Linked DNA regions of Mus musculus. The protein of the gene in region 1 interacts with the protein of each later gene in a pairwise test. Links are inferred from orthologs where the notes say so. Each region holds a gene or a part of one and is shown in the gene's direction. Other genes may lie near its edges.

The links.
Region 2: the proteins of Pum2 (region 1) and Dazl interact in a two-hybrid assay, tested with the Homo sapiens proteins (2 studies listed by BioGRID and IntAct). The link is inferred for Mus musculus from reciprocal best matches to the Homo sapiens genes PUM2 and DAZL.

Annotation. Positions count from the first base shown.
Region 1 is NC_000078.6:8,711,427-8,727,854, forward strand, and holds part of Pum2 (pumilio homolog 2), read left to right. Parts: intron 1-1,933; coding exon 1,934-2,204; intron 2,205-2,417; coding exon 2,418-2,511; intron 2,512-7,561; coding exon 7,562-7,687; intron 7,688-10,238; coding exon 10,239-10,381; intron 10,382-12,620; coding exon 12,621-12,753; intron 12,754-16,428. UniProt on the Homo sapiens protein: Sequence-specific RNA-binding protein that acts as a post-transcriptional repressor by binding the 3'-UTR of mRNA targets.
Region 2 is NC_000083.6:50,286,506-50,303,550, reverse strand, and holds the start of Dazl (deleted in azoospermia-like), read left to right. Parts: upstream 1-9,930; 5' UTR 9,931-10,141; coding exon 10,142-10,144; intron 10,145-10,382; exon of another isoform or gene 10,383-10,397; coding exon of another isoform or gene 10,398-10,730; intron 10,731-14,312; coding exon 14,313-14,459; intron 14,460-14,845; coding exon 14,846-14,937; intron 14,938-15,388; coding exon 15,389-15,440; intron 15,441-15,732; coding exon 15,733-15,796; intron 15,797-15,883; coding exon 15,884-16,023; intron 16,024-17,045. UniProt on the Homo sapiens protein: RNA-binding protein, which is essential for gametogenesis in both males and females. Plays a central role during spermatogenesis.

The DNA of each region.
Region 1 (16,428 bases):
ATTTGTGGGTTTTGTTCCACTAGATTTTAAATATGTGTTTGAAATTACTAGTTAAATACAGTATCAGTTAGTACTTGTCATGTAAAAATGCTTAAGAAAAATTGCTGTGACCATATGATCTCTTTCAAGTTTATCATTAAAATTTGTTAGTAACACATGTCAGGAATATATACATTACTGGAATGAAGTGTAGGACTATTCCACCTTTTTTTAAGTTGGCTAAGAAGCTCTGTTTTGGTTTGTTTGTTTTTTCTTAAATGTTTCAAGTGAAAAAAACCACAAAAGGCAGGTATGCTATGGCTAAAGGAAAAACACATTTGAAATCCAATATGCAAAAACAGTGATTGACTTGGAAGTAGCATGAATGTTTTAAGTACTTAGTGGTTTTAATTAAGAATTACTTTGTCGTGGTGGCTCACGCCTTTAATCCCAGCACTCAGGAGGCAGAGGCAGGCAGATTTCTGCATTCCAGGCCAGCCTGGTCTACAAAGTGAGTTCCAGGACAGCCAGGGCTATACAGAGAAACCCTGTCTCGAAAAAACAAAAACAAACAAACAAATAAACAAACAAAAAAAGAATTACTTTGTAAACTGCTGTATGATAGCAAACTTATGCCAGTGTGGAACATCTTAAATTAGAGGCTGTTAAGTTTGATGAACAGCTGGTGTTCGACACAAGTAAAACACTCATTACTACTAAACTTAGGTACTTATATACTTTGAATGTGTTATGAATGCATAGTTTCTCAGAGCAATACACTTAAAGTAAGATTCCTATATAAAACATATATAAGAAAAGATAGACTATGTTAGGATTAAAAACAGTGTAAAAAGAATATTAGAGGGGCTCACTAGTTAAGAGTACTGGCTGCTCTTCCAGAGGTTGAGTTCAATTCCCAGCAACCACATGGTGGCTCACAACCAACCATCTATAATGAGATCTGGACCCCTTTTCTGGCCTGCAGGTATACATGCAGGCAGAATACTGCATCATCATCATCATCATCAGTAGTAGTAGTAGTAGTAGTAGTAGTAGTAGTAGTATGTCAGAAACATGAACAATGTTGATGAGAAGAGAAACCAATGCTGAAATTTTAATTCAGTATTAGTGAATTTCTTGTGAAAATTAGGGTAGTGTGGTGCAGCGGGGTTGGTATTTTGTTTATATAAAATTGTGTGTGTTCTGTATACTTTTTAAGTTTTCAAAATTTACTACATTTACCTTTAAAGAGAAACAACTTGGAACAGTAGAGATGATCTTTGGGTAGCTGTTTATTGTATAGGGCTTTCATAAAGGCTCGCTGTTTGGCTGCTACTCCCTTTCTTGCTTGCTCTTCTGTTCTTTTAGCTAAAACTACCCAGTCTTACATTTATTCTCATTAAGGAAGCAAGTGCAAAAGATAAAAGGGTTTGCACAGAAAAAAACCTTTGAAAGTCACAGTTGTGAGTCAGCTTTTGTTTTAGTTTAGATTTCTTTCACTCACGGAAACTTAACCATCATGTCTGGTTAGTTTTTTGATAAGTGGAATTTTGAGCTTTGCCATATTTGGGGTTTTTTTTTTTTTGCCATATTTGTTATTTAATAGTTGTTTTTTATTCTTAATTTTTGTCTATGGCTTTAGACAAAAGTTTCAAGTAGTATAGTTGTAAATTTTGACAAATTTTCTTACCTGTGTCTTTGTCTTATCTGTATGATTGAGTTATATGATTATGCTATTCAAATTGAGGAGAGTGATAAAATTAAAAATACTGAAACTGTTACCTTAAGTAGTTACGAAATAGGAAAAGATATGAGAAATGGAACATTTGATGACTCAGAAAGCCTTACTTATTCTTCATATTTTGGGACTTTTTTCCCCTTCATACTTAACTATTTTATTTACCCTTGGATTTGCTCCGTTTACTCATAGTGCTCTTCTGTTTTCTTTACTTAGTCGCACTCCTGGAAGTCGCCAAGCCTCTCCAACTGAAGTAGTTGAGCGCCTTGGCCCTAGTACTAATCCCCCAGAAGGATTGGGCCCTCTTCCTAATCCGACAGCGAATAAACCACTTGTTGAAGAATTTTCAAACCCTGAAACTCAGAATCTGGATGCAATGGACCAAGTTGGTCTGGATTCCTTACAGTTTGACTATCCTGGTAATCAGGTACCCATGGATTCTTCAGGAGCTACTGTAGGCCTTTTTGACTACAATTCCCAACAGCAGGTAAAGAGACTTCTGTAACACTATTATTAGTGAAATCTGAAGTGGTATGACTCACTAGGAATGATAAGGGTTTTGACACTTAATGCTTTATTGATTAAAATGTCATTATGGTTAAGAAAGTTCTTCAAATAAGTGTTTAAAATATTCATAGCTTTTTAATGAGAATTGCGATGTTTTGGTATTAATCTTTGTATTAAATATTTTCCTGGATAGCTCTTTCAGAGGACTAGTGCACTAACAGTTCAGCAGTTAACTGCAGCTCAGCAGCAGCAGTATGCATTAGCAGCAGCTCAGCAGCCACATATAGGTAAGTCTTTTCAATTAAGTTACACCTTTTCATTATTAGAAGAAAAAGCTGGTATTAATGTATTTAAACTTTCCTTTTATTTCTTAATGTCTTGTTTACATTTTGTTACTTTCTGAAACACCTCTGAGGTTAGTAGTAACAGATTACACACTAAAGATTATGATTAATGGAGGGAATCATTTTGATTATTTGCATCATTGGTTAAATCTGTCTGTAATTTGGGCCAGCAAGATGCTCCAGTGCGTTTGTCACAAAGCCTGATGACCCAAATTTGATCTTAAAATCCAGGATCTATGGGGAAGGAGAGTGCCAGCTCCACAGGTTATCATCTGACCTCCACATGTGCTCTGTGGCGTGAAAACACACTCACACATACATTTGAAAATTTATACTTGATAAATGTTGTTAGTTTTTAAGATTTTTTTTCTCAGTTGATAATTGGTAATCAAAGATCTAGAAATAAAATGTTATTATTTATATAATCTATTTTCCAGTCAGAACGCTCATTTTTAGATTTAATCTAAAACAAGAATACTAAAAAATTTTCTGTAAAATTAACTTTTTTGATATCTAGTTCTAACTAATGTGAATTAACTCAGCCATATAATTATTACTGATAAAATTCAAGTTTGGTACATGTTTTGTTGTCTATATTTAGTTATTTTTGTCTTTCTTGTTTTTCCTACCACTTGCACATCTTTACTGTTTAATAATATAGATGATAATAATATGCTAATAACTGTTTTGTTTTTCTTCTCAGCCCTCTGATTCTGACTCTTAATAGTAGATGTGGAGTGAAATAAGTTTAAATGTAATATATTTGGGGGCTTTTTAAAAGGTAATAATAGATTATAAAATTAAGTACAGGGAGTTCCTCATACCCTTCTGTCTAGTTTCTTCTAATTCTCCTTATATAATTGTAGTATATGAAAACTAGCAAGATGTTATTAATACAGAGCATATATAGTTTTGTATCATTTATCACTATATATCTAACTACCTGATTTTGGATAAACGTAATTTATTTTTTAGTTGCAAGTGTTTTGTGGTAGGATTTCTTTGTTATCTTTTCCTTTCTTTCTTTTTTTTTTTTTTTTTTTTTTTTTTCTTGGTGCGGGGACTGGGGGGCTGGGAATTGAACTTTGGGGTCTCTGGATCTCTCTCGCTGAACTGTTTCCAGCCCTCAAGTGCTCTTTAAGGACTAATTTGTTTGTTTTCCCTCAAATGTCTATTGTTCTGTATTAGTGCTGTTAAGGCTTCCTAGGAATTTTACTTGGGGCTTTTACAAAGATAAATGAAAATATACATATACCCATTGTCTTAGTCAGGGTTTCTATTCCTGCACAAACAAGTTGGGGAGGAAAGGGTTTATTCAGCTTACAATTCCATACTGCTGTTTATCACCAAGGAAGTCAGGACTGAAACTCAAGCAGATCAGGAAGCAGGAGCTGATGCAGAGGCCATGGAGGGATGTTCTTTACTGTCTTGCCTCCCCTGGCTTGCTCAGCCTGCTTTCTTATAGAACCCAAGACTGCCAGCCCAGAGATGGTTCCACCCACAAGGGGCCTTTCCCCCTTGATCACTAATTGAGAAAATGCCTTACAGTTGGATCTCATGGAGGCATTTCCTCAACTGAAGCTCCTTTCTCTGTGATAACTCCAGCTGTGTCAAGTTGACACAAAACTAGCCAGTACACCCATTATAATTGCAGCATCTACCTGGCCTCCTTCCTTCCTTTCTTCCTGGGCATCCTTTATCCGTGTATTTATTAATTTAACCTTTGTACTGTTAAAATGTATGAATTGCACCTGCTCATGAAATTGCTCATGAAATACACAGGTTTTATTACTTGGACCTTTATGGTATGTTTTAATATTTCACAGCTGTTAGTCTTTGCAATTTTGAAAGTTTTTGGAGTTGTTTTTGTTTTTGTGGTGGGAGGTATGAACTTCAAAATCACCTACTTCTAGAAGATCAGATTTTGGGTTTTAAAAATATACTTTGGAAAAATTAACATGGCATAAATTATCCTTATTAATGAATGCATAGAATAGTTCAAATCTAGTGTTGATAAGTGCTTAAAATTTGTTGTGGGTTGTAGTTCAATTGTTAAAGTGCTTGTATAGTACACAAGAAACCCTGAGTTGATTCCCTCAATTGCTTTCCTTTTAAAGTGTATTTTTATTTATATGTATTCAGTTAGTGTGATGATGTGCTTGTGGGTGTTCTTGGAAACCATAAAAGAGTATCAGATTCCCTGTAGTTGGAGAAGCACACTTAGGAGCTGATGAGGTGCTAGGAAGAGAACTTGGTAAGAGCAGCAAACATACTTCACTGGTGAGCTAATCTATATAGCCTGATCTAGAATTGGGCGGGGTTCCTGCCTCTGTGTGTCTGTGTGTGTGAGAGAGTTCATTTATTAGTTGGTACTTGTATCTTACAGGACTTAAACAATCTTGACAATTTGCAAATTTTAGAAACCTGAATAAATTCAAAATATTTATATTTTATGATAGCATAAAATATAAGCTATCAACTGACTCCATTTTAATCTTAATTTCGCATTTGTAAATATTTATTTTTTTCACCGTTGGTACTTTTTAATCAAGTTTTGCAGTCATCCTTGGCTAGCTTACAGCATACTTAGAACAGCATGATAGAAATAGAGTATATATTATGAACAACTTTAAATTAGTAACCATGCTTAAAACATGAACTAAGTAAAAGTGATCCAAATTATTTGTTTTAACCCATTGTATCATTTCAGAATATTGGTAAGAACCTTACTAATGAGAACTTTTACATCCTTATTCTGAAATGAGATAAGTGTTCATCTGATCTTGTTAAGCTTGTCACATGTTTACTGGAATTTATGTGGCTAGTAACTACCATCTTGTTCAGTATTGGTGTAAAGAGTCTTCCAAAGGGGGTTGGCCAAACATTTTCTGTAGAAGGGTAAACACAGCAAATAATTTAAGCTTTTCTGTCCATGTGATCTTAGCCAGTAACTCCTCTGTAGTAGCATGAACATTGTCGTAAATGATACATAATAAAGATAATTATTTTCTGTAAAAGCTATTTTACAAGTTGATACAAGCATCAACTAATAAATGAACTCTCACACATATACAGACACACACAGAGGCAGGCATGCACCCCCACCCCCATTCTACAATAGTTAGCATTTTTGCTTGGTTTGTTTTCAAGACTGTTTGTTTTTGTAGTCTTAGCTGTCCTAGAGCCAGCTCTGTAGACCAGGCTGGCCTCAAACTTAGAGATCTCTGCCTCTCTTTGCCTCACCATGCATCACAACTGCCCATCTGCGTTAAATTTTGCTTTGCATTTTAATTATTTTTTCAAGACATCTAAAAATAATGGAATAACTTTTTGCTTTTTTATTTGTTTTTACAAAAATAGGTAGCAATATAAACTTGGCTCATATAAAAAGGTTAGTAATAAGTATTAGATGCAACATATTCTTAAAAATAGACATTGTACACCAAGAGTGTGTAAGTCAAGTCAGAACGAAAGGTGGCTTGTTTAGAAAATGTCTGTAGTACAGGAAATCTGAAAATCAGTAGTGTTAAAGGCCTATAAAAAGCTAGGGATAAATGACCAGAGTCTAGAGAATTTCAGGTCAGCAAGGCTGCATAGTGAAACTTTTTTTGTGGAGGTGGGGATAAGTTTAAGATACCAGAGAGTATGTAGAGGACTTGAAAATGCAACATAATGTGAAAATCATTAAAAAGGCAATTCTTCAGACTGCATTACTGTATGGCTATTACCTAAGAGAAAATTGAGAAATCCTCTAGAACATTGAGATAGTCTGTAGTGACCAGGACATAACAGAGGAGAAGTTTGGAGCAGTAAAGGGAATATGAATATACATTGTATTTTTTAAAGAACAACACTTTCTATCTGGCTGCATACCAAATATCCTATACATCAGGTATTTACCGTACGAATCATAACAATAGCAAAATTATAGTTCTGAAGTAGCAATGAAAATAATTTTGTGGTTAGGGGTCACCACAACGTGAGGAGCTGTATTAAAGGGTCACAGCATAGTAAAGGTGAGTTTCAGGCTCTCTACAAGGCCAGTTGTGCTATTCATCACTTGAGCCGTCCTCAGCCCCAACTAGGGAGAAATCTTGACACTGTTGACCTGGAGTGGGGTTTAGAATACAGTCCTGAGCAAATGATGCTAAGTATAAGCGTAGTCTTGAATCCACATCTTAATTAATTTTTTACCCCCAAAAAACTGGTTTTGAAAAATGGCTATGTTGCTTGTGTCTGGGAATGAAATTGTGTGGGTTTCAGCCTATATCTTAGAAATCCTGTCTCAAAAAGGCAAGGAAAAAATAAACTCATCTTTATCATCATCATCTAAAGCTGGGTCTCTAACTCCTTTAATTTTAAATATATTCATTTTCATTATTTCTTTCCCTTTTCAATTTGTCTTGGTTACCTTCCAGAAGACACATTTGCAGCAGTGCATTTTCAGGAATGGTAATTGTCAGTGCCTAAAAATTTCTTCTCTTTTGATAAGAATACTGCAAAGAGCCAGGCTTGTGGCTACCAGCCAGGCTGTAGTGGTGCACGCCTCTAATCCCAGCACTTGAGAGGCAGAGGCAGGGGAGTTTCTGAGTTTGAGGCTAGCCTGCTCTACAGAGTGAGTTCCAGGACAGAGAAACCCTGTCTCAAAAAACAAAACAACAACAACAACAAAAAGAATACTGCAAAGACAGAATTTTCAATAGTTTTTGGCTTTTACCTAATCTGTGTGGGCTTATATTAAGCTCAGAAATCATAGAAGCTTTAAAAGTAACTCTCTTTAAACTCTTTCTTGTTTCTCTGTTGTTTTGAGGACAAAATCCAAACTACTTAGGATGACCAAAAGTTTAATAAAACAGCTGATGTTCTAAATGGGGTTATTCAGTAAAAATTTAAACCTTTATTGTATGGGGTCCCACCCCAGATTCAGAATTACAATGGTTGTGAAGAAATGCTTTACATTTTCGTTTATTATTTCTCACCCTTTTAAATATAGCTGGTGTATTCTCAGCAGGCCTTGCTCCAGCTGCATTTGTGCCAAATCCATATATTATTAGTGCTGCTCCTCCAGGGACTGACCCGTATACTGCAGCAGGATTGGCTGCAGCAGCAACATTAGCAGGTAACTTGTTTATTCTTTGTTGCTTGTTATGAACTTGGTTTTAATCTTGATATAAGGTTTTTTTTGGGGGGAGGGGTAATCTATGAGTAATTTGAAGTTCTTCTGAGAAACTAATATATTTTCCATAATAAACTGAAATTTGAAGAGAGTTCATTTTTCAATTACACTTACAGGGCAGCAACAATAACTCTTGTGTAGTTGGTTTATATTTCTAGTTTGTAGTTTAGAAATCCTACAGTGTGGAACCTACACCTTCATTTTAAATAACTGATCCTAATAATCAAAACAAAGCGACATTATTTTTTCAGAAATAATTTGGAGGTCGATGAAATTCTTGGAGAGAATGTATATCTAAAACATTTCTTAAGTATTACAAGCAAGCTGGGTGCAAACAGTATGGAAGGAATTTTATTGACAGGTGCTCTTCAAGCCAAATGTGTATTAATTGCTTATTTAAGTTAAGGGAAACTTGCGTGCTAGTCAGGTGCAGTCTTACTGACAGACTATTTTGATGGTCTTGTGTAAAGTCATTAGGGGTATTTGATTTAGGTTGAATTGGCTACAGATGCAGAAATAAATTCAGTCCTTAAGCATGGTTTGTATTGCTTGTAGAGGCAAGAATGTGTTACTGTCATTCCTAGGTTCACTTGCATGCCTCTGGTGGCATAACTTTGAAAATGTCACTACTACTTCTGACTTTTAAGAGATAATTGTCACCAGTTAGTATTTATGACTGTTGGATAGTCCATCTCTTTTTGGAGAATGACAGCTTCCAAACGTAAGACATACTTTTAAAGTGAGAGAAGAAAGCTAATTCTTCTTCTTCTTTTTTTTTTTTTTCTGTCTAAACTATTAAACTGAAAGAAACCTGTCAGTAGCTTTTGATGTAGAAGTTGTGCTACATAATTCCATGAGTATGTATAGTTTGCTGGTGCTGTTTAGCTAGATATTAATATGCTGATGTTAGTAGTCGTCTGTTTATGTGTGTGTGTGTTTGTGCATGCTCCTATATATGTGTGTGTATATACATTTATCCACAGGACTGAAAGAAGTATCTTCAAGAGGTTATTTAGTACATACAGTTAGTTAACTTAAGCCTTTTGTTAGCACCGTGACTGTTCAGCAGAAATGCAGTATAAGCCAGAAAATACAGTTTATTAGTTTTTTTAGTTAGCCATAATATAAAGTAATTCAGTAGTATATTTTATTTGACTTGATCCAGTATGTCTAAAGTACTGTAACACCTAATCAATATTTTTAAAATCTATATTTTGCATTGCTCTTCATGCTAAATCTTCAGAATCCTAGTATACTTGTGCAGAACTATTCCGGATTAGGCCTCTTGCTCAGCTTCCACACTAGTTTCTGGCTGTGTTGAATAGACAAAGGCTTTTGGTAGTTTGAGGGTTTTTTTTGTTTTGTTTTGTTTTGTTTTGTTTTTACACACTTTAATTTTCTATTGATTTGTTTGTTTTGCAATTTTTTATGTTCTGACAATCTTTATTATAGGTTGTGTTTAAATCATTATCTTTAGAAATATATTTGCCTTTAAGTTTATAAGTGCTTTTAATTTTAGCAATTTGATATTTATACTGGGCTCTGTTTTTCTCCTAAACTCTGTGACGTTGGGTTTTTAAACAAATTAATTGCCCTAATTTGATTTGACATTTTGTTGTATCTGTCAAAAATCAGGACATTTACTCAACTACTTTTTTGGTGGACTCATTAATCTATATAATCAAATATCTTAAGCAAAATAAAATAGAGCAAAACCAGTTGATTTTATTTCCCCTTAGTTTGCTTTCTTTATCACCCTTTTTGAATCATCTAATTCTCGACTAGACAACTTGTTCATTCCCCTGACCACTGATGTCTCACATCTGTTTTCATATAACTCAGTTGCATGTAAGGATGTTGATGTGCTGTTTCCAATAGGAAAAATGTCTTTAAAGGCTTAAAGTTCATACACTGTGAGCTGGTTCCCTAGTTTTCTTACAAAGTAATAGTTTAAAAAATTTAACATCAAAAAATTATTCTTACTGAATTAATGAGTTATTTTAAGTGTTACAGTTTTATGGTTTCTAATGTATTACCTTGTTATTTGTGTCTATAGTAGACCCACATGGGCAGTCAATACATGTGAGTGTGTAAGTGTCCTGTCAGTTTATTGGTAGCCTTGTGTTTTACTTGAATCTATTCAGTAAGGCCACTGCTGTCATGAGCACTCTTGTTCTGTCTTTGATAGCAGCAGTAAGCTGGGTATTGTAATGGTGCAAGTAATTGGGAATCTGCAGCAAGACATTATGAGTTTGAGACTAGTTGTTTACAAACTGAGACGATGTCTCAAATTTAACAAAAACAAACCCATACCTGACATGTCTTAAAAGAATTAGAAAAAGTGTGGTGTAATAGCAAGTGTGAGGAGAAACATTATAATAGATATGCTCAGCTCTAAGCCTTAGATTTGTCTCCTTTTATAGTTTAATGGTAACTGATCTTGTATATAAAATTTAGTGACTTTTTTTCTTTTGATGGGCCATATGGGGTTTAGGTCCAGCAGTGGTTCCACCTCAGTATTACGGTGTTCCATGGGGAGTGTATCCAGCCAATTTATTTCAGCAACAAGCTGCAGCTGCGGCAAGCAACACAGCCAACCAGCAAGCAGCATCACAAGCTCAGCCTGGACAGCAGCAGGTAGGCCTTTCTTTGTGAAATAATAAAGGAGTCTTTATTATTTAATTATATTATACAGTCCATTCCTCAGTACATAGCATGATAGTACTTAATATATAGTTGATATGCAACTACTTACTGACTTTTAATTTTCTGATCAGCATTTAAAGGTTTGGTGTGGTCTGGCAATAGTGGCACACACCTTTATTTAATCCTAGCATTTATCTGTTTGAGGCCAGCCTGTTCTATAGAGCTAATTCCAGACCCGCCAGGGCTACACAAGCAAACCCTGTCTGGGAAAAAACCAAAACCCTAAAACAATGCTTTGGTGTGTCCTGTTTTCATTATTTTACTTTCTTCAAAAGTCAAGTAATTTTAAGGCTTATTTTTTATTTATGTTCTTTTTTTAATCGTATGAGTATTCTGTCTGCATGTACACCTGTATACCATAAGGGGGCATTAGACCCCTTTATAGATGGCTTCAAGCCATCATGTGAGTGCTGGGAATTGAACTCAGGACTTCTGGAAAAGCAGCCAGCGCTCTTAACCGTTGAACTTTCTCACCATCCCCAAAAGCTTATTTTTATCGATCCTTCTTTTTTTTTTTTTAATTGATTCTTAAAAGTTGCTAATACACCTGATGTGGTGTTAAGTGTAATCCCCATCACTATGGGGAAACTGAGGCGAGCCCATCTTGAGTAATTAGGCCTTGTTTCAAGAAACATCAAAATAAACATTCTTGATGTCTATATCAAAGAGCTTGCTCCTTCATTTGTCTACAGATGTCTAAGTAGTTATACAAGTGTGCTGTTAATCACTAAAAGATGAGACATTTTCATTAAAGGGTGCTTTTAATTTCTCAAATAAAATATTAATTAGGTAGAGGTTTTTTCCACAGAGCTTTACTATAAAGCCACTCCCAGTGATCCTCCAGTCTGTGCCTTCAGAGACAATTTTTGAAAGGGCCTGAATTAAAATTATCTTGATAAATGTAAACACAATGTTGCTAAGTGAGAATTCTGGCTGCTGTGTTCATGGTATTTCTATAAAGCAAATTAAATACCTTGTTGCTTGCTTGTTAGGTAGTTTTTGTTAGGAATTTTCTATAATACTTTTGTTTTTATAAATGTATTATATGTAAGTACACTGTAGCTGTCTTCAGACACTCCAGAAGAGAATATCAGACCTCATTACGGATGGTTGTGAGCCACCATGTGGTTGCTGGGATTTGAACTCAGGACCTTTGGAAGAGCAGTTGGTGCTCTTTACCACTGAGCCAGCTCACCAGCCCCTCTATAATACTTTTAATGCCATATTGATGTTCTGTGGAAGGTATTGTTTAGCTCAGCCTTTGTATATCATATCATAACATCATTTAATAATTTATTTAACCCGTATCTTTTATCTTTTGTGTGTGCCCTACCAGGAAAGAGTTTGCTCTACCAGGAATTGCTTGAATACTTGTAAAATGTATTATTAATTTCATCATTTTTGTTTTTGTTTTGTTTTGTTTTTGTTTTTTGTTTTTTTGGAGTCAGGGTTTCTCTGTGTAGCCCTGGCTGTCCTGGAACTCACTTTGTAGACCAGGCTGGCCTCAAACTCAGAAATCCGCCTGCCTCTGCCTCCCAAGTGCTGGGATTAAAGGCGTGCACCGCCGCCGCCACCACCACCACGCCCTGCGCTTGTGTTTTATTATTTTAAGAGCTTTCTACCTTACTTTGAAGTTTGTTATTTTTCACACATAAGTTTTATGTTTTAACAAGTTCTAAAGCTAAATTTTCCTTGAGTTCCAAAATTTTTTTGTGTGTTTTGGTTTTTGGTGAGTTTTTTGTTTGTTGGTTTGGTTTTTGGCTTCACATCACAGTCTCATAAAGGTGAATTCCCTTAAACGTCTCATGTTTCAGTGTTCAGCCTTAGAAAATAATTTAAATAAATTTTAATAAATAACATTTTTAAATTAAGTAATTTAGCTCTTTAGCCATTTCACCTTTAGTTGGATCTTTTAAAAGGAGAGTATAAATATTAGAAATAAGTTACTCAAAGAGCTACACTCTCAGTGTTACTTTATAGAGTATTGTAGTTGTCAAGAACCAGGAGTGTTGTTTCTTTGTTTTTATGGTGGAAATTATTTATAACTTTTCATGTTAAATTTATATTTTACTTTCCAAAAAATATCCAAATTCTACTGTGATATGTATATAGTTGTCTAAGATGAATTTGTTGCTATATTCCTTTTAACTGAGTTATTTGTCCTTTCTAGGTTCTTCGTCCTGGAGCAGGTCAGCGTCCTATTACTCCAAGTCAGGGCCAACAAGGGCAGCAAGCAGAGTCACTTGCAGCAGCTGCAAACCCAACTTTGGCTTTTGGTCAGAGTCTTGCTGCAGGCATGCCAGGTATATAAGTAGTTTGATATAACTGTAGTTGGGGGTGGGGTGGGGGGTGATTTTGAGGGTGGGAAGGGGAAGCTCAAGAGATTTAAAATGTTAGGTGAAGAGTGACCAACTCAGAATCTTTGAAGCTTTGACTATTTATTAATATATTATTGCAAACTCAGAATCCATCTGGGTAGTGATGGTCCATGTCTTTGATCCCAGCACTTGGGGCGTGAAGGTGGTGAATTTCAGGCCAGCCTGGTCTTACGGGAGTTTAGGACAGTTGGGGCTATGCAAAGAAACCCTGTCTTAAACACAAACCCCTCAGATCCAGATACTAATCTTTGAAATCAATTTTTTTTTTTTTTTGAGAAGTCCAGTTTTGGGAATGACAATATAGCAAAATTCTTAACACAGTTATCAAGGGTTTTTGTTGTTGGTTTTGTTTGTTTGTTTGTTTTTTTTAAACTGTTCCTGGTGTGAACCACAGCATCTTTCCACTTCAATTATTATAGTAAGACAACCTCTCACATTTTAAGATGACATTCTCCCAGCTGATTCTAGATTGTCAAGTTGATAACTAAAATTTATCATCACACACAGTTACCTAATGTCAGGGAAATTTACATATCACAAAAAGCCAGGAGAAGTTGGAAAGATGGGTCAGTGAGTAAGAGAGCAGATTGCTCCTATGGAGTGTTCCCAGTTTGACTCCCAGCACCCATACATACCTCACTATTATGTCATTTTAGTTCTAGGACATCCAACTCCCTTTCCTGCCATTATTAGTACCATGGTGGCAGACATGTGTGTGGCATATAGACTTATATGCAAGCCAAACATCTATACATGTTTTTAGAAAGAAAAGAACCTATAGAATTTCATGTTAATAAATTGGGAAATACGGGCATAGTAAATTTTGTATTTTTATTTTTATCTCTGCTTCATTGTAAACACTACGCCTTTTACAAAAATTTGCATCAGAAAATAGCAATACTTAGTCCCCCCTTTACTTACCCTCATAGCTACATCGATCCTCAACAGATACTTTAAGAATCCAATCTCTCTTTTGTTACTATCATTTGGCCTATCCAGCCTTACATATTAGCCTGGATTAGTTTTGCCTTGTCTTCTTTGATGTCTGGTTCTTTTGTTCTGCAAACGTAGAATCTTTCAACATTAATATACATTTTTGCATTAACATGTATGGAATGTGCAGTGTGTACAATTCAACTAAAGATTATTCTTTGTGTTCAGATTAGGGAAAAGGCATCAAATTTTATAAGTCTGTTTGTACTATATATCCAATTTATAATATAAATTTTTACCCTTGCCATACAGAGGATGGCATGATAAATCTTGAGAACTCTGTAACCAACAAGATTTACAGGCTGGGCATAGCTGTAGTCCTGGCTTGAGATATCCAAATTTTAGCCAGTTTCAAACCTGTTCCCACATAAAGGGATCAGTGTATATACTTTATCTGTTTTATTTTTCTTCTTGGTTTCTTCCTTTGTTTCTGTTGCCAAGATCTTCAGTATGTCTGCTCTGGTTAAATCTAATTTTCACTACTTTTGATGGAATCCACAGCTTTTTTTTTCCCTATTGAAACAGGCAAAACCTCTTCCTCAATGCAACACATTCCTTTCTTTTCATTCTGAGGTTTTCACATACATAGGCTGATCTAACAGTTCTTTCAGTGTATTTCAGCAGCTATGTTATGTCTTAATTGATCTTTAAAAAATAAAGTGGATAAAGTATTTAATCTATCTCTGAGAGATCCCATATCCCCTTTCTGTCCTGTATTTCCTTTAAAGCATAGTTAGATCTTTTTACAGTTGTTTAACCTGTACATTTGTAAGGTATATTTGTAAGATGTATATGTTTTACCCTATAATATTTTAAAAAACTGTTCTATTTTATTGGATACATATGTCAAAGCATCATCAGCTTCAGTCTGTAAAGGTATAGCCACCATCTCTAATAAATGTGCAATCTTAGAATTATTTCTTTTTAAAACTCAAGGCAGAAGCCCCTTGGAATTCTGAATTTGGCATCAACTATATGATGTATTAATACATGTAAATATTTTACATTTTCAAATTCTACAAAATGAAACAAAGTATTGTATGACATTGTTCTAAGGTGACTTCATTAAACAGAATCTGTATTTTTAACTCAGTATATTTTCCTCAAGCCTTTGTGGATTTTTCTCATCTGGAACTCCCCTTATGCTGTTGTTGTAGACAACATAAGAATGCACTGAGGATTCCTGATTCTGATCTAAAGAATCCTTTAATCTCATTATCCATTCCTTAGTCCTTTCCCTTTCTAAGTCTGCTTTATTCTGATATCTTTTTAAAGGGACATCTAAAATTGTTGTTGTTTCTGAAAAAATAATTATTTGTACATTGATATGTGAAACAAAGTCATATGGGACTCAGATGCATTGTGTCATGTTTTTCATTTTTTTTAACACAAAATATTTTTCTTTTTAATCTCTAACTTTCTCCTTAAGGACTTCCCAAATATCTTACCAAGTCTGTTGTTTGTTTGTTTGTTTGTTTTAGCTTTTCCCGTTGTCTGCAGTGTCTGTAGCTGGCATCTGCCATGTCTCTGACATTTAGCTACTCTCTGCCACATTGCACAGGCTGCTGGCTCTGCCCCTCCTGTTGGTCCTTCTCTCCCCTGGAGGGACCAGCAGGATTTTCCTGAGGGCCCACATATGACTTCTACCCACTCTGAAAAGGTGGCCTGTGCCTCTTCTGGCTCCAGGCCATTGCAGGCTTCACACACTGATTTCTCACGGGCCCAGGTTGCTCAGTCCCTCTGTCACCTGGGAAATGTACTAAGGCTCTGGTTGAGTCTCTCTTAAAAAGAATATCTTCTGCCTGGCTGGGAACTGCTCTAAGAGGTGATTGTTCCCTGCCTTTCCACCAGGGGCATACCTGGATCTTTTGTTCTAAGTTGGGATTTTTAGCTAAGTTTGGAATACAACAATGATGGGTGCCATTTGTAACTTTGGGCTTTTCCACCCATATCTCAGTTCCTGAATAATGACTCAGAGGCTTATTATTTATTAAAAAGTGCCTAAATAGCTAGGCTTGTTCCCAGTAGTTTGTAGCTTATTTAATGTTTAGACTATTCGTTATCTGCCATATGGCTAGTTACCTCTCCTTAGTTCCTAAAAGCTGGTGGCCAATAATCTGAGGCTGAATTAGAAGGTGAAACATCTGGCAGGGAGACACACTCTGAGAAATAGTCAGAGGAGATTTTGACCCAGTGTCGTCCCCTCCCCCCCCCTTGAAGGAAGTCAGTTGTCAAGCTCTTGTCACTGTGAAAGGCGAACCTTCTCAACCTGAGCTCCAGGAGAGAGTTAAAACCCTATTGCCCCAAAATAGCTGTTACTCACAGTTAAATTGTCTTCTGTGCCTTTGGAGCAGTACTTTTAATGTATGGCCCTTGGGAAAATGTCAAATGTCATTTGTGTAGTTTTGATTCAGAGGAGAAATTCTCTTGAGAAAGAACTGCTTAGAAGTAAACTGCATTTTCTGGTGTTTTTTATAAATGTAAAAATGTCATCTACCTCATACACAAACCTACAATAAAACTAAGGCCTCTGTGAGAGTCTTTACAGGTTGACTCTTAGTGATCCTAAGTTGTCTTCTCAGATTATATTTTTAAAATTTTTTAAAC
Region 2 (17,045 bases), on another chromosome or scaffold:
GTCTAAATATGCTTTGTGAGTCCACTCTGGCCATCATGCAAGCTTGGTTCAGACTGAAAGCAAAAAGCAGGCATCTTGCTGAGAAAACTAAGCGTTGAGTGAATAAACACCCATGCAGGTATCAGGTGCACACAATGCTGTGTGCCATTCCTGGAAACGAAGACTTCTAATTTGCTTCTTCCCTCCTTTTTGAGACTTTGTGGGTACCTACTAAGTACATTTTGTTTCTACATTCATTTTTTTAAACTTTTAATTATATGCATGTGTGTCTGAGTGGGCACATGTGCACCTGACTGTGGGTGCCCTTGGAGGCTGGGGTGTCAGATCTCCTGAAGTCACAGGCAGTTGTGGGCAACCTGACGTGTGTGCTGGGAACCAAACTCAGTTCCTCCGAAAAAGCAGTGCACACTCTTAGCCTCTGAGCCACCTCTCCAGCCCCAACTACCCAATAAATTTTAATGAGTTTCCTTCCTGAGTAAGTCAGCCAAAACTTCTGGGCCAACTAAATGCTTTACTGAAATGGGTGATGAGCAGGGTCAGCCAAAGTACTTTATGAGAAGAAAACTCACAGCTGAAACATTCACAGCTCTTTGGATCATGTAACCTCACGTTCCCTTCTGGTTTCCAAACTCCACTAGAATCCACCTATGATTTCACAAAGCCTAGCTCAATGGCTGTTTGGTAAGGTGTGTTAAGGAAGGACCCTCTCTACCTGTCTGTTACATTGTGACGTAGTCAAGGACTATGTGCTGGGCAGAGAGATGATCCAGAGATGAAATAATTCAGCGGAAACAGAAGCCTGAAAACACCCTGCAGGAGCATAAATCTAACTCTCAGGGCTCCTAGGGAGATAGGAAGAGATGGAGCTAGTTCCACAGTGCGTGGACTTGTGTCTGAACCAATTACCCTTCCACCTCCAAGTGAAGTGTCCCCTCTACTCATTTTATATCCCAAGTCCTGCTTGTTCCCCTTTAACCTCTGGGAACCTGCAGAGTAGTTTATGCACTCAACATTTAGTTTCCTACTCGGATTGTCCAAATATGGATGTCAGTCTGAAGCAAGCTGAGTTGCCTTGAAAGATTTGTCTAGAAATATAACTTTCAAAAGTGATTGGCGTGCCTCACTTGAAAGTATAACTAATATGGCATCCGATTTAACCATACTGATTAAGACAAGAAGCCAATTAACAATATATAAAATGTATGTAGAGATTCGGGATAGCCATAGCAAAAACTATGGCTACAGATGCATGAAGTTCCTGAGTGCCTACACCAGGGTAAATTTTCTGTTCAAAGTTCTAGGCTTTTAGAACACAGAACTGGCAGAGCCTTTAAGAGTACCTGAGTTCAAACCCTCATGGGAGGAGAGAACTGATTCATGCAAGTTGTCCTCTGATCTCCACATGCATGCCATCTCTTGTACACGTGCACACATGTGCTTGCGCACACGCGCGCGCGCACACACACACAAACACACACACACATGCACACACACACACAAATATAAGAGTCTCTGAGATAGCACATGAGGAAGGAAACACCTGGGCTCTGGCTGCTGTCCACAGACTGGTATATAGCACACAACATCTACAATGGAGAGAACACCCAGGCCCAGCCAGAAGGTGAGCCAGAGCAGGAGCTGCAAGCCCAAGACAAGTACCTTGCAAATGAGTCCACCTGCATCACAGACGAGACAGTACATTAGTTGACCGGGTAACTGATTGCACTCAGTGGCCCATGCTGGGGGCACTGTGCCTGGCCTGCTGCACCAGCTACTACACCTGGCAGCCTGACCCTTGATGCAAATACCAAGCATGGTGTTTGTAAACTGTTCTGTTGTCTTTGTACACACCTACTCCCATGACCTGCACAGAAACACTGCCCAAAGCAGCAATACTGGATGCCTGGTTTACAGTGGGGAGAAGTGTATGGACTCTGCCCGATGACTTCAGGAGAGCAGCACCCAGAGCAGATCCCCTGATGGCCCACAGATCTTAAAGGACCAGGAGTACTGCGGCAACACTTTGGGTTTGCTTTGTGGGACAGTGGTGTCTAGAAGGCATTGGGTTTAATACTAATTATTTTTTAAGCAGCATGAACCAAGGATTTATTTAGCTCATTATAGATATTGAGATGTCTATTTCTATGATCTAGGAGCAATAGGCTGTGGAGGTCTGACTGGGCAGAAGCCAATGTTACTTGTACATTTAAGTATATGGCTACATTATACTATTCAAAAGCCAACCAGAAGCTACTGATGACTAAAATTATTTTTAATTTATTAATCAATTAAATAAAATTAATTTCAATTAAATTAATAATTTAATATTAAAATATTTCCAACATTTACACATCTAATAAAAATTATAAAATTAAAGTGTCAGCCTTATTTCTTCTGTTAATAGTCCCTGCCAGAGAAGGAAGCAATATAGACATTTGCTTCTGAGCTTATATGAATTATGCTACTAACCTTGCCACATTGAAATGCTCACTGCCAATTTTTTACCTTAACAATTGTTTTCCATGGTTTAAATAAGGTTTTTTGTAAGATTCAAGAAAATATTACCAACCTTGGGATAATAATGCTCCCCCTAAGAGCCATGGAGCATCTAACAAAAACTTCAGTGCTAAGCCTGAGAAACGTTCTCTCAAGTTTCCAGTCAGGGGAAGCCAAGACACCTCTAAGACAATACAGGCCATTGGGATTGCCTTGGTTGCTCCCAGATTTGAAGATAAGGCCCTGCTGCTGAAGACATGATGCGCTTTGGACACAGGACCTGGAGCGTTTGAGCTCATCTCTGACAAGCGGCTCTCATTGTCAGAAGGCACCGAGCAAGCCAAGCATGTGGTAGTCCTATCTAACTGTAAAGCCCAGAAACCACAGCCATGGCTGCACCAGCAACATTTCCACAGTGGTGAAATACTGGCCCCTTTATCTCCAGGGTTACGGAAGGGTTAATGATGTAAATGCCTCAGAGGAGATGGGAAGCCCCAGACAGGAAAGTTGAGAAGCTGATAGCATCTGAGCGCAGTTATGATCCTGGAAGCTCCTGATAAGAAGGTCAACATTTCAATCTGCACTGGCATTTACAAGTTCAAGATGCAGAGGAACGGACATACAGACGGAATCTCCCATGGCCAAAGTTCCCTTTCTGCCCTATAAAACCCTCTAAGTCTCCCCACTCCCATGGAGAGACCATTTCCTGTTCTGATGAATGACGACCTGCTTCCGTTGAGGTGGGCCCTTCGTTGTACTTTCATGTTGCCTCCTTCTGTCTCCACCTAACATTTGGTATTGAAAACCCAAGAGGGGTTTAGGGCTCCTGTGTCTCACTCCCCTAGTGGCCATTTCCCTCTCTCCTTCTCCATCTCCCTACCTTTCCTGATACCCGCCCACTGAGCATGTGGTTTACTCGGCTTACTTTAAACTGAACAGGTGCCTGTTGCAACTTGAAACCTCCGGGCCTTGGGGGCCTTTGACTACATAAGTGGTGCAAGCCCCATTCTGGGGTGTTATTGACATGCCACATACATGGGGCTTGGGTTCTTTGTATAATCTGTTCTCCAGTCTCTCCATCTATCCAGAACAAAGGCTCTTGGCTGTTTGTTTACTAGAGCATACCTACTACTACATATTGGTAAGGTAAGCCTTGGCCAGTGTCAGGAGGGCCCCCAGACCAAGGCCTTCTCCAGAACTCCAGGGCTTCCTTGGCTATTTGAACCTGATGTCCACAGGCCAGGGACACCATCTTCTGCAATTCATGCTTGTTCCTCCAGTTGCTGCCTGAACCCAGGTGACAACTTGGAAAATGACTGTACTCTTCCTTTTTCATTGACCTTCTGAGATGGGTTCTAAATTGTCTATGCCCAAGAACACCCTTTGGTGTACCTGAAATCAAACTTCAAATTTTTAGGTCTATCCAGTTTCAGCACCCCCTAATTCTTATGTAGCTCTCGGTTCAGATCTGGCCCCAGTATCACTTAGGCAACAGCCATACCTGACCTGAACTGAATATTTTCCGTTTCTAAATCCTCACTGGCTTAAAGGACTTCATCAGACGAACTAGCAAGTGCTGAGATTCCCACCTCACATCTCCTTTCATCTCCACTCCTGACCTTCGCTTTGTTCCTTCACCTCTGCATAACAGCTCAAACTTCCAACCCCACTCCTAAGCTCTCTGTGCTATTAGTCTGCTAGTGAGCCTGCACCCTATTCAACTGTCCCCACACTCTGCCTAACCATTCCCCGTAGACACACTGATGACTCTTACCTCTCTTTGACACATAATGGGCAACTGAGGTCTGAGACCTCCCTCCCTGGCTTAATCCTGCCCAGAACAAAAAAAAAAAAAAAAAAATCGGTTCTGGTTCATATGGTTACTGATGTTCTTTAATCATTCCAGGTGTGGCACAATAAAATGCCATCTGCTATGGCACCGAACAGGAGCTGCTAAGGTAAAAGCAACGGCATCAGGAGCAGAGGACTCCTAAGTACTAAGTGACTTTGGCAAACGGCCCTGTGCTGTTGGAGTTCACTGAGCGGCCATCCGGGAGATGCGGTTTGGCCCTCCCATTTCAGACCCAAGCATGCCTGTGTCACAGTAACTGGTCTTGGGACAGGCTGGCCTCCTGACTGTGACAAGAAAGAGAATGAAACACCCCAAGAGGTAAAGGTGCTGTGCCCTGAAAGATAGTTAATCAGTGAGCTAGATCCAGCTTAAGCTATTGTTACTTATCTCATCATACAGGGATGTCTTTAGGAAAACCAATACCATAAAAAGGACACAAAGGTAAAAGCTAGCCCCTGACTCTGTGTCAGGGAGCAGCACCATTGGCTCCTCCAGCTGTGCTGGTAACATTGCTTACTGAAATTCTGAAAGGTCCTCTCAACCTGGGGACAAACCTTTGAGTTTTTAAAAGCACCTCATTTCCTTTCCCCTTTCTCTTATTTCTCCTGCAGCCCTGGGAGAGATCTCACACTGGGAGTCTGGCAACGCTAACAGCAGCATATGAACTCCTTCTTTTCCTTGATCTAAGACCATGGAGTTCCTTCCTCCATTTCTTGTTTTGCTATCTTGGGCCTTCCTGTCAAGGCCGTAGGTACAGTCTCCCATGTCCACGCTAACCCAAAGAAAGTATCCCTTTTTAAAGGAAAGGGTATAATAGTCCACATTTAATCTGTGAGATATGTGAACCCCACAGGGACTTATGTCCTGAATATAGCAAAAATGGAGACATCCATAAAACTTCCAATCTCACTGATCCCACAGGGTATGACGGCATCTCTTTTAGATTAGACTAAGGAAGTAACATCAGACAATAACCAAGGTGGGTTTTCTCATTTTAATGGTTTGTGGGTTTTTTGTTTGTTTGTTTGTTTGTCTTTCCCCGAGACAGGGTTTCTCTGTGTAGCCCTGGGTGTCCTGGAACTCACTCTGTAGACCAGACTGGCCTCGAACTGCCTGCCTCTGCCTCCCCAGTGCTGGGATTAAAGCTGTGCACCACTACTCACTGCCTGGCTAATGGTTTGTGACTCACAGGTTAAACTGCCAAATTGCAAGACAAGCTGCCACAGTGAGGGTCTACTACAGCAGGCTCTACCAGGTATGAACACCTGCTATTTCTACCTAGTTTCTCCAGGCTCATTTTACTCCAAGATAGAGCCCCTCCCCTGTCTTCAATATGCCTGAGTGCCCCTCCCATGTATCTGATTTTGTTTCTGCATGATCTATGGCTTTGTCAGGGTTTCCATTCCTGCACAAAACATTACAACCGAGAAGCAAGTTGGGGAGGAAAGGGTTTATTCAGCTTACACTTCCACACTTCTGTTCATCACCAAAGGAAGTCAGGACTGGAACTCAAGCAGGTCAGGAAGCAGGAGCTGATGCAGAGGCCATGGAGGGATGTTACTTACTGGCTTGCTTCCCCTGGCTTACTCAGCCTGCTCTCTTATAGAACCAAGACTACCAGCCCAGAGATGGTCCCACCCACAAGGGAACCTCCCCACTTGATCACTAATGAGAAAATGCCTTACAGCTGGATCTCGTGGAGGCATTTCCCCAACTGAAGCTCCTTTCTCTGTGATAACTCCAGCCTATGTCAAGTTGACACACAAAACCAGCCAGTACAATCTAGATCTAGCAATATATCTCTAGAGAACCCTGTTATATTTCCTTTTCACTATGAAAATTATAGAAAACATAATCTCAACAAATAACAACATTCAAAATTTTTAAATGTATCTTATTGTATAGTCTGTCTGACTACATGTGATTATAGTTTGCATACCATATACTTAGCACCAAGTAGACTTATAAGTGCTCAAAATTTTAAGAAACAAAATAATGGTTAAGTGGGAGCACTTGAGCATGTGTGTACATACACACACACACACACACACACACACACACAATAATATAATTAAAATATGTAGACATGTAAGTTAAACAAAGAGAGATGGATCCTGAATGTTTATTTGGGACAATTAACATGTGTTTTAAAATTTTAATTTATATATACTTTTATTTTTTGGTTTTTCGAGACAGGGTTTCTCTGTGTGGTCCTGGCTGTCCTGGAACTCACTGTGTAGACCAGGCTGGCCTTGAACTCAGAAATCCACCTGCCTCTGCCTCCAGTGCTGGGATTAAAGGTGTGCACCACCAAGCCCCGCTTATATACACTTTTAAAAGGGGACTAAGAAGAGGGAGCTCTATCTATATGACCATCTCACTGCTAAAAAGCCCTCGTGCACAGTGAGTAAAACTTTTTCAGTGGGGAAAATAAGCTTGATTCTTTGGCACAGGAAAGGAACTTTCTGAATAGAACACTGATACCACAGTCATGAAGACCAAAAATTAATGAGACTTCATTAAGGTGAGAACCTGCTTACAGCAAAGGGCAGCATCCTTTAGGCAAATCAGCAGCCTACAACATAGGTTAATATCTAGAATGTATAAAGAACGGAACTACCTAAACACGAAGAAACAAAACTCAACTAAAAAATGAGATCTAGAATTAATCAGAGTATTCTCAAAAGAGGAAACACAAACGTCTATGAAGCACTATTAATTCGCCTATTAAGAAAAACGAAGTTTGCAGGTAAATCGAAGGAACTATAAAACTTATCCCGTGTGAGGCAACCCAGACTTCAAAAAAAAAATCACATATTTTCTCTTATATATAGATATTAGCTTTTATATGCTTTACGAATTTTTTGATAAGTTTCCTACAATCCAGATAACCACACAGGTTAAGTACTTAGTAAGTCCATGGTGGAGAATGTGATCGTGCAGGAAAGGGGGAATATGGTGTATTGTGATGGAGAGATAAAGGGGAAATGGAATAAGAGAACTAAACTGGGAGGGAGCCAGGAGAGCAGGAGGTAAAATGGGGATCACAATGTTTCTCTGTGTGGCCACAACGGCTGACTTACAGGAGGCTAACAGAAGGAACCTGAAAACCAGCCAGTTTAAACTGGGAGGGGAGTTTACTAATAAAATCATCCTGAGGCCTTTGAATTATTTAAGAGGGAACATATTTATTAGCTTTCTATTTAAAGTGTATGGTTTTTTTTAAGACTTTATTTATTATTTATTTTATATGTAAGTACACTGTAGCTGTCTTCAGACACACCAGGAGAGGGAGTCAGATGTCATTAAGGATGGTTGTAAGCCACCATGTGGTTGCTGGGATTTGAACTCAGAACCTTCGGAAGAGCAGTCAGTGCTCTTAACTGCTGAGCCATCTCTCCAGCCCCGATTAAAGCAGTAAAAGAGCGGAGAGTGCTGGGCCCTCAGGCAGAGGCAAGTGGGTCTCTGTAAGTTCGAGGCCAGCCTGGTCTACAGAGAGAATTCCAGGACTACACAGAGCAAGCCTGTCTTGAAAGACCAAAGACAAGAGTCAGAAAAATAAAATGTTCATACAATCCAAACAGGCCATTCCTATTCACCGTAAATGCTTTATAATCTTTTGGAATGTGTGTGTGTGTGTGTTAGAGAGAGAGAGAGAGACAGATAGACAGAGAGACAGAGAGACAAAGAGACAGAGAGACAGAGACAGAGAGAGTGTGCGGGGAATTAAAGCCAGGACATCCTTCCCACACATGCTAGGCAGGCGCTCTGCCCTGTGTGGCACCCTCTGCACAGTCCTCTCTTCTTTTTATGTTGAGACAGTGTCATTAAACTGTCAGGGCAGCCTTGAACTTTTAGTTTCCTTTGCCTCAGCCTCTCCTCCTAAGCAGCTGGGATTAGGAGACTGCTGTCTCTAGACCCCACTTCCAGGAGGATTTTCTTTGAAAAGTCCTTTTCTGAGAGGACCCCTATTGTCTCTGCAGATTGGCCTTTGTTTCGTTTTTCAAGCGTTTAAACGCCTTGCCTAAGAATCTTTTGCAGGGAAGGGGATAGTGAACTGGGAAAACCTGGCTCTTCCTTTCGAGATTCCAGTAACAAACATGTCATAACTATAAACGCCAAACTTGGAGAGCGCAGGAATGGAAGGTCAAACACCAATGAGAGTTAGATGGTTTTGGGTTTGCTCTAGTCTGCACGGTGCTCCCCGTCCCCTCACGTCCGTGCTTTTCCTCAGGATGATGCCTTGCCAGAACACCGGTGTGCTGCAAGGTGCTCAGCTCCAAATCGGGCTGCACCGCTTCAGCTTTCCCCATCCAGCCAACGCAGGAAGGCCTGGAGCTACAGAGTTTAGAGCCATCTCTCCGCTGCTCATTAACCAACCATTCCAGCTGTCTGTAGTGGGTTTTTTTCTTCTCTACACTAAAATGAGGACAGTCCAGGCCCTTTGTTAGACTGTTCACACCACCATGTAGCCACCTACCGAAGGCCAGTGGAGAATCGGATCTTCACCGCTGTAGTTTCGAGCTTAATTTTAGTTTCAGAATTTTGGAATTTCCCCCCTTTCAAATAGGTGCAATCTACCCTTATTTGTTTTATTTTTATTTATTATTTTAATACTATTTTCTCCATCATTGCTGCATGGTTAGTGGCAATCTTAAGCTGTTTTGCCAGCTTTAAAAAAAAAAAAAGCTGTAATACTTATCATCTGTACAAAAGGTAGTCAGGACGGTATAAGTACTAGGTGGTTCTGCCGTAAGGTTATCTCCACCAAGCACCCTACAGCTCGGCTCTGCTGTAGGTAGGTAGGCCCCGTTTCTCTGGCCTTGAGAATGTTCTAGAATTCTCTCAGCTGGCCTAGCTTGTTTCTGTAAAGCCTACAAGAGAAACGCTCACACTGCAACCTAAATTCCACGAAGGGAGGGATATTCTCTCGTGTGGTCTGGTCACTGCTGTGTCCTTTGTACCGGATAATTCGGGCATTTATTTGAAGGGGCGGGGGGGGGGGAGAAAAAAAACGGAAGAAAAAAACTAAGTCCTGATGGCTGACGGGCCGGCCCGTGAGGCATGAGGTGCGCCTTCCACATGCACCCGGACTCAACCTTCTCAATGTGGCTGAAAAAGAGGGTGAAGGGGCCCGGCCAGGCAAGGCCTGCTCTCTAGTCGTGCCGCCCGTTATTAATTTCTATTTCTGCGGGCATTTTGTAAATTTTAAATTCGGCCGCCAAGCTTTGCTGACGGGATAACGCCATGCCTTCGAGGTGCCATTTTTGAGGTAATGACTTGAATAAATGCTTTCCTGACAGAACTCTGAGCACCGTCCTGCCCAGGACTTATTTCACAGGGGCTTCGGACACGGTCCTGGGGGGGCTAGGGAGTGGCAGGAGTCGGTCCATCTGTCTGTCAGTGAGGCTCGGGCCTGCTCGGCAGCCGAGACCCTTACGTAGATGTCGCGCATGCTCCATGCGCACCCCTCACGCACTCCGTGGGCGACGTGGGTCCCCTGGCCCCCCTTGCGAGGCCCTAGCGCTGCCGCCTATTGGCTGTAGCACGTCACGAGGCCAGCCACGCACAGTCATCCCCCCGGGGCGCGCAGCCCACGCCTCAGTGACTCGGCGACCCTCAGCACGCTCGCTTCGGGACTCCGCTGTCTCCGTGGCCGTGGGCTCTCTTTCCACCACCGCCTCGGCTTTTTTTTGCCCGTTGGCCGGCTAGGCAGCCACCTCACGTAGCTGCCCCGTCGCGTGGCTTCTGCTCCACCTTCGAGGTTTTACCACCCGAACTCTGGCCGCCATCATGGTGAGTCGAGGGCAGGCCCCGGGGTGGCAGTGCAAGACCAGCCGGAGGCCGCGATTCCTTACGCGGAGGTTTAAAAATCGGCCTTTTCTGGTGTAGCACAGAGAAGTGGGGAGAGGGCATAAAGAGGGTCCTTTCATATTTCCGGTTCTGGGTTCCTCCCCCACCGGACAGCCCCCAGGGTGAGGCCTGGAGGACAAGAGTGGCGGCCTTGCTGCCTTTGCGGCCTACACCAGCACTGAGGGGTTGCGGGGAGATGGCGGGCAGCCCTGGGGACCTCGGGCAGCCCCGGGGTGGGCCACGTGCACGGCCTGGGCGTCACGTGACGGCTCTTTCCCGCCTTTGGGCCGCGGTGCCCGTAGGAGCAGGCCTTAGGCGAGGCCTGCCGCGGCCCAGCCCCCACCCCGCGGCCCAGCTCCTCCGCACGAGCGCCCGGGCTTCCGGGTCGGAGCGCCGCAGCGCGGGCGCCTCCGCCAGGTGGCGCCTAGGCTGGCCGCGCCGGGTCCTGCGGCCTGGCGGCTTGGCCGCGGCGTGGAAAGGACCCGGAGGGCGTGGTTATCGGGAGGCTGAGGGCGGGCCCTGTCGCCTGGTGACTGTGGGTGGGGTGGAGGCGGCTTTGCGGGAGCTTGGCTTGCGTGGGCTGGGGGAGGAGCCAGAGGCCTGAGCCGGGCGGGGGTCGGGGAAAGCGGGACCGGACAGCTCTGCTGTAATCGCCGCTGCCGCCGCCAGCAGACTGACTGAGGCGTTGCCAGGCTAGCTTGGGCTACTGAAAACAAACGTTGATAGCCATTTAATCACAAATCCGTTAGATGTTGCATGTTCGTTTAAAATTTTTTTCCATTTTAGAGGTAAAGGAAGAAATTTATACTACTTATGACCGATGTTAACTTAAGTTGGAATTCAAATTAAGCATTTATAATGTGAAATAGGTACTTGTCTATCACAATAATTTAAATCGCACAATATTGGACCGTTTTCTCACTACATTAGGGTTAAACATTTGATAACTGCAGATTTTTATCTATTGGCCAGTATTTGTAGCATACATGGGAATTTGCTTAGCATAGTGATTTAATTACATTTCAAAAATGTGAATCCTGAAATCTTTAATAACTATTCTCAGCTTCTAGCTATATTTGATATGTGGATTTTCCAATACAATGAAGTATGGTACTGTACAAAATAGGCAAATTTTTGTGTGCTGGCTCATTGCTGGTATTCTAATATTTCTCATAGCTAATTCAGAGGTATAATTAAATATGTCTTAAATTTAATACAGTTTGTTTTCAGTATGCTATTATAGTCCATTGATGAGTAAGATACTTTCCCACCAGGGTCAGTAGTGGGCATTTAGGTGTGTGGAAATTTACAATTATTGGGGACAGCAGGGGGCCATATGGAGCCCTTTAGAAGTTCAGGTCAACTCTGGCAACATAAGACGTCATTTAAAATAAATAATTGTACTCAAGAAGTAGAGGCATGAGTTTGAAGCCAGCCTGGTCTACATAGCAAGTTTTCAGGACAGCCAGAGTTACATAATAAGATCCTATCTCTTAAGTATAAAATTATACTTTCTTAAACATCAACCTGACTTACAAGTATTTGGTTGTAGAGTGGTTTTGGTCATATTTAAAAAGTAACTAAAGCATCTATCAGTTGTGGGTGTTTTACTTATTAAGCATACAGTAGGAATTAGGTCTTATTAAAATGGATTCTTTGCTTTCTTGGTTTTGAGTGCCACCTACTGGATAAGGACTAGGATATGGTGTGCCTTCTTTAATACATAATACACTATTATTTTGAGACCGATTTAATATTTACTCTGATGAAGCAGGTAGTTTAAGCCCAAATCAAGCATCCTATAATATTTAATGCTTTATTTTCCTCCTTATTAAACTTTTCTCAAACGTCCATTTTACTTTTTTATAAAGAATACAATTAGAAGACATTTGAGATTTTTTTTTTCCTTAATTTTTAAGGCAGGAAATCAAGATCTTGAACAATGGAAAGCAAATTCTTCCCAACAGTTATTTTCCTCTTCAGTTCTAGAAGTACCATAACAGGATTTTTCATCACATCCCTATACAGGTTATGGTCCTAGTAACACATTGTTTGGGAATCATTTGTTATGGAAATATCCCTGGCTTCCTACCAGATGCCAGAAATTTACCTCACTGTTGACATCCAGAAATGTTCCTAGACATAAGTACCCCTGCAGTACTGAGAGTCAGTGCATTATAACTTATATTCTGGTTAACTGGTAAAATATTACACTTCTAAGTTGAAATGCATCCATGTATTGTGGTACAGACATCAGTAAAAAGGATTATCGAATAAAAATATATCCTAAGGTCATCAATACAAGAAGAGTAAATTGAGAAATGGAGTCCTAAAAAAATTACAGAACTATTGTTTTATGTTTTGAGTTTATTTTTGAATAAGAAATTGAGTAGAGATGGGTAGATTTTCTATTAGTAAATCAAATCTAGTCAGGTTCTAAATAGTCCAAGATGCATAGCATATGTAGTATTGCATTTAGGATTAAACTTAAATCGTAACATAGTAAAAGAAGGAAAAATTTAATAATTTTGCTGCCTGCCATTTCATTGTCATGAAATATCACAAAGGGGATTTACTGTTTAAAGAAATAAGGTAGTTCTCAAGTAGGAATATAAAATAGCAAATAAGGACTTAAGCAGATAAAAGCAAAAAAGGTCAAAAAAGTAAAGTATTGGACAGTTTTTCATTTCTAAAATTTGTATGAAGTTAATCTTTTAAAAACAAATTGACATTTTTAGCTTCTTGACAATGTATACATACATGTAAACAAGTTACATATACTAGCTTTCCCTTAGTGTTCAGTATTCATTGTCAGTTTCATAAGTGGATTTTTCAGTGGGTATGACATAATAATAGTTTACTAAAATTCCATCCAGTTAATAAAGTCAGCCAAGATAGTAAAATTTGGAGGGAAAAACTTTTTTAACTCCATTGAAAATAAATTTAAATACAGGATACTTAACTCTTAATAGCATACTACTTTATAAAACGAGTTCGCCAGTTTTAGTCATTCTCAAAGTAATCTGCCAGAGATGCACTCTGGCAAACATGCTGCTTATAACTTACAGACATAAATCTAGGTATTTTGATTTAAGTTCATTTTTTTGTGCTTTGTTATATTGCCTCTTCTGTACACACACTTATTTCCAATAAGTTCTTCTTTAGGAAAATCATGTTAATCAATTAAGAATCTACTGTATGAATTGCCAGTGGAGCTTGTATGGTGTTAGTCAAGAAACAAAAAGCTATTTCAGAACATGCTTTAAACACAATAGTATTAGGGAATAGGAAACTGATGTGTCAGTAATTTCTCATAATTCATTTACTTCTAAATGTGATTGACTAATCACATTAACATGGGCATGTTAAGGTTATAGAATTTATATTAATTTAATAATAGAAAGGCAAGGAAAAATGTAAGAGTTTAATACTTTTTTTTGTTTGGGGTATTGAACAGCTGTGTTGTTTACTTTGGGTTCTTACTATGCTTTTGATTTAAGACACTCAGTAAAATGGAAATTTAGTAGTAGTTCCACAATGGTTTTAGTCTTCACAGATCAGAACTTTTCACCAAGTTCATCAAATAAAATCTTTTCATAAACTGTAAAGTTGGCATTTTTTCACAATATAGTGTAAAAGGTGACATGAATGGGGCAGAGAGATGAATCAGTTGTTAACAGCACTTTTGCTACTCTTATAGAGGACCCTTATGATAGTTCACAGTTGTAATTTCAGTTCCAGGAGATCCAGCTCCCTCTGGCTTCTGTAGGCACTAGCACACACATGGTGCACATACATACAAGCAGACAAAAAACTTACACATGTTTTAAAAATGTGTTGTCTTAGTGTTCTGTTGCTGTGAAAAGATACCATAACCATAGTGGGGTTTGCTTTCAGTTTCAGAGGTAACAGTAAGAAGGATATTTCTGAAAGTACTACCTTTTTAATTTCTATGCCAGTTCTCTAATTGCTTTAAGTCCTGAAGCTAAACTACACTATTGCTAGCTAATTTAGGTGAAATACAAACGAAGTGTTTTACATAATTTGTCATGTTTATATATACATGTGTGTGCATATATATATTTTAAATTGTCTATTCTCCAAATTTCAGTCTGCCACAACTTCTGAGGCTCCAAATTCAGCTGTCTCCAGGGAGGCCAGCACTCAGTCTTCATCAGCAACCACAAGTCAAGGATATGTTTTGCCAGAAGGCAAAATCATGCCAAACACCGTTTTTGTTGGAGGAATTGATGTTAGGGTATTGTATTCATATTTCATTCAAACTTTAAATGAAATTCTGAAGCCACAATTTCATGTTGGTGTTGGGGTGGGAAGAGGTGGGAGGAGTGCTTGAGCCCAGGAGTTTCAAGAGGAGCTTGGGCAACATAGTTGAGAACTAGCTCAATAAATTTAAATATTTAAAGTGTTATGGACATTGGGAGCTGATGTGTAGACCTAAAAGGATTTTCTGCTCCAAATTTTATGCAGGTTTGGTTTTAATACATAGAAATTAAAAATACACTCAGCAAAATGGAATAGTTTGCAAATACTAGGGATTGACTTTAACATAATCAAATATCTTTTTTACAATTGGAAGTTTTGAATGCTTAATTTTTACTCTTGAAATTTAATTCTTTTCCATAGATGGATGAAACCGAAATCAGGAGTTTCTTTGCCAGATATGGCTCAGTAAAAGAAGTGAAGATAATCACTGATCGAACTGGTGTGTCGAAGGGGTATGTAAACATAGGTGATGTAAGCTACTGTTTATAGAACTAAGTATGCCAGAGAGATGCCAGACAAGACTTAAAATGAGCATGCAAACTACTGAAATTGTTGCCTTTAATAATTTATGGACAAAGGAATTTTTTTTTAAAATAAGTTCTTTTGCTAGTACTTGTATTTCAGTATTTTCTATTTTGCACAAATGGATTATTAAATAGTTATTTCTTGGCACATTCCACACTATCTTAAATTGTAGCTGTCTTGCCTTAAGTAATAAACATTTTTTAATGAATGTTAATATTACTACATTCTGACATTACTAAGAAAACAGCAGTGGTATTATAGAGGATCTGTTCTCTGTGTTTCAGTATTTTTATCACAATATATTGATCTTTCATTATCATTTTCTGTTAATATAGGATTTACTATGGTTATGATTTTATATTTCATTTGTTTTTCTAGCTATGGATTTGTCTCATTTTATAATGACGTGGATGTGCAGAAGATAGTAGAAGTAAGTAACAGTCTTTGGTAAAACTCTTCTTTAGCAATGCTTTCGTGTTGAGTAAGTCCTGGATATTCAATCTTACATAAAATACAGAGAAAATAGGCTTCCTTTCTGTTTAAGATCAAACTGTAATTTTATGTAACTTGTCAGAACATGCTTGCTTGGAGGCCTCTAGCTTTATCAGATTAGAAAAGGGATTTGATGCATTGTGACACTTTGGTTAAAGTAAGGCTGAGCACAATAGTGTTTGCCAAACTCTTGGAAATGAAAGATTAAAATTATCGTGTGTTATTTTTAGTCACAGATAAATTTCCATGGTAAAAAGCTGAAACTGGGCCCTGCAATCAGGAAACAAAATTTATGTGAGTAAAACCAGAAGTTTTCTTGATGAATCTGCCTAGGTTTTCAGAGAACGCAATGTAACTTTTGTTCTTTGTACTTTTTTAAAGGTACTTATCATGTGCAGCCACGTCCTTTGATTTTTAATCCTCCTCCTCCACCACAGTTCCAGAGTGTTTGGAGTAGTCCAAATGCTGAGACTTACATGCAGCCTCCAACCATGATGAATCCTATCACTCAGTATGTTCAGGTAAAAGCTGCCTGTATTTTTATTCTTATATTCAATAGTCTTTTTAAGCTCTGAAATTTATGCACAGTTGGGATGTTAAGTGATAACACACTCCATTCTTTATTGGAATACTTCAAGTATTAGGATTTTGTTATTACTGTCATTCTTAGCGCTGTTTATGCTAAGCTGAAATCACTTCTCTGTAGTTTATAAGCCATTATCCTAGAACCTTGGTAGCCACATTAAGATACATAAAAAAATAGAGAAGGACTATTTTTCTTTTTTGTAAAAAAGTTTTTAAATTTGAAAATGTTTTTAAGTATTAGAAAACAGTTTTGTAAGTTCTCTTAGTTGATGCCTTCCCAAAGCCCATCACTTAATCTATGTTGTACTTGCAGTGCTTTCCAAATGCTTCCTCATGTAAGTTGTTGACATCTGGGTTTATTTCGGTTCTAGAATTGATAGGGTATTTTTAAAAAATATATAAATCATAATTTGTCTGAAATTGGTTGACACTTAAATTTTCATGCTTGCTATGCATATTGGTACATTTTACTTTTTCAATTTGAGAGACTTTTGCCAGAAAAGAAAACTAGTAAAATCTTATATATTTATATGTGTGGAATATAGACAGTATCTTATCTTACTTTTCTGGCTGTTAGTATGACTTAGAAGAAAATCCCTATTTATTCCTAACTGATACAAGGTGTGCATGTGACCTACTTGCTTTTATTCAATAAATACAAGTATAGGAAACACTGATTTATCCTTTTTTCTAGTTTCAGATTGTAATCCCCTTAACTTTTAGAAATTAAATACAGAAGAAAATCATAAATACCAGAGGAATTTTAGAGATTATCTGCTAATGTTGCTGTTAATAATAATACTGTGCAAAAGTGTTTTTATAAAGAAACAAGATACACTAATTTAACTCCACTACTAGAACTAGATAATCAATGTACGATGACCTCCTAAGGGAGTTATTGGCTTGGAAAAAGGCAGACATTAACATTGTCTTTTCTTCCTGCCTGCCTAATAGGTTA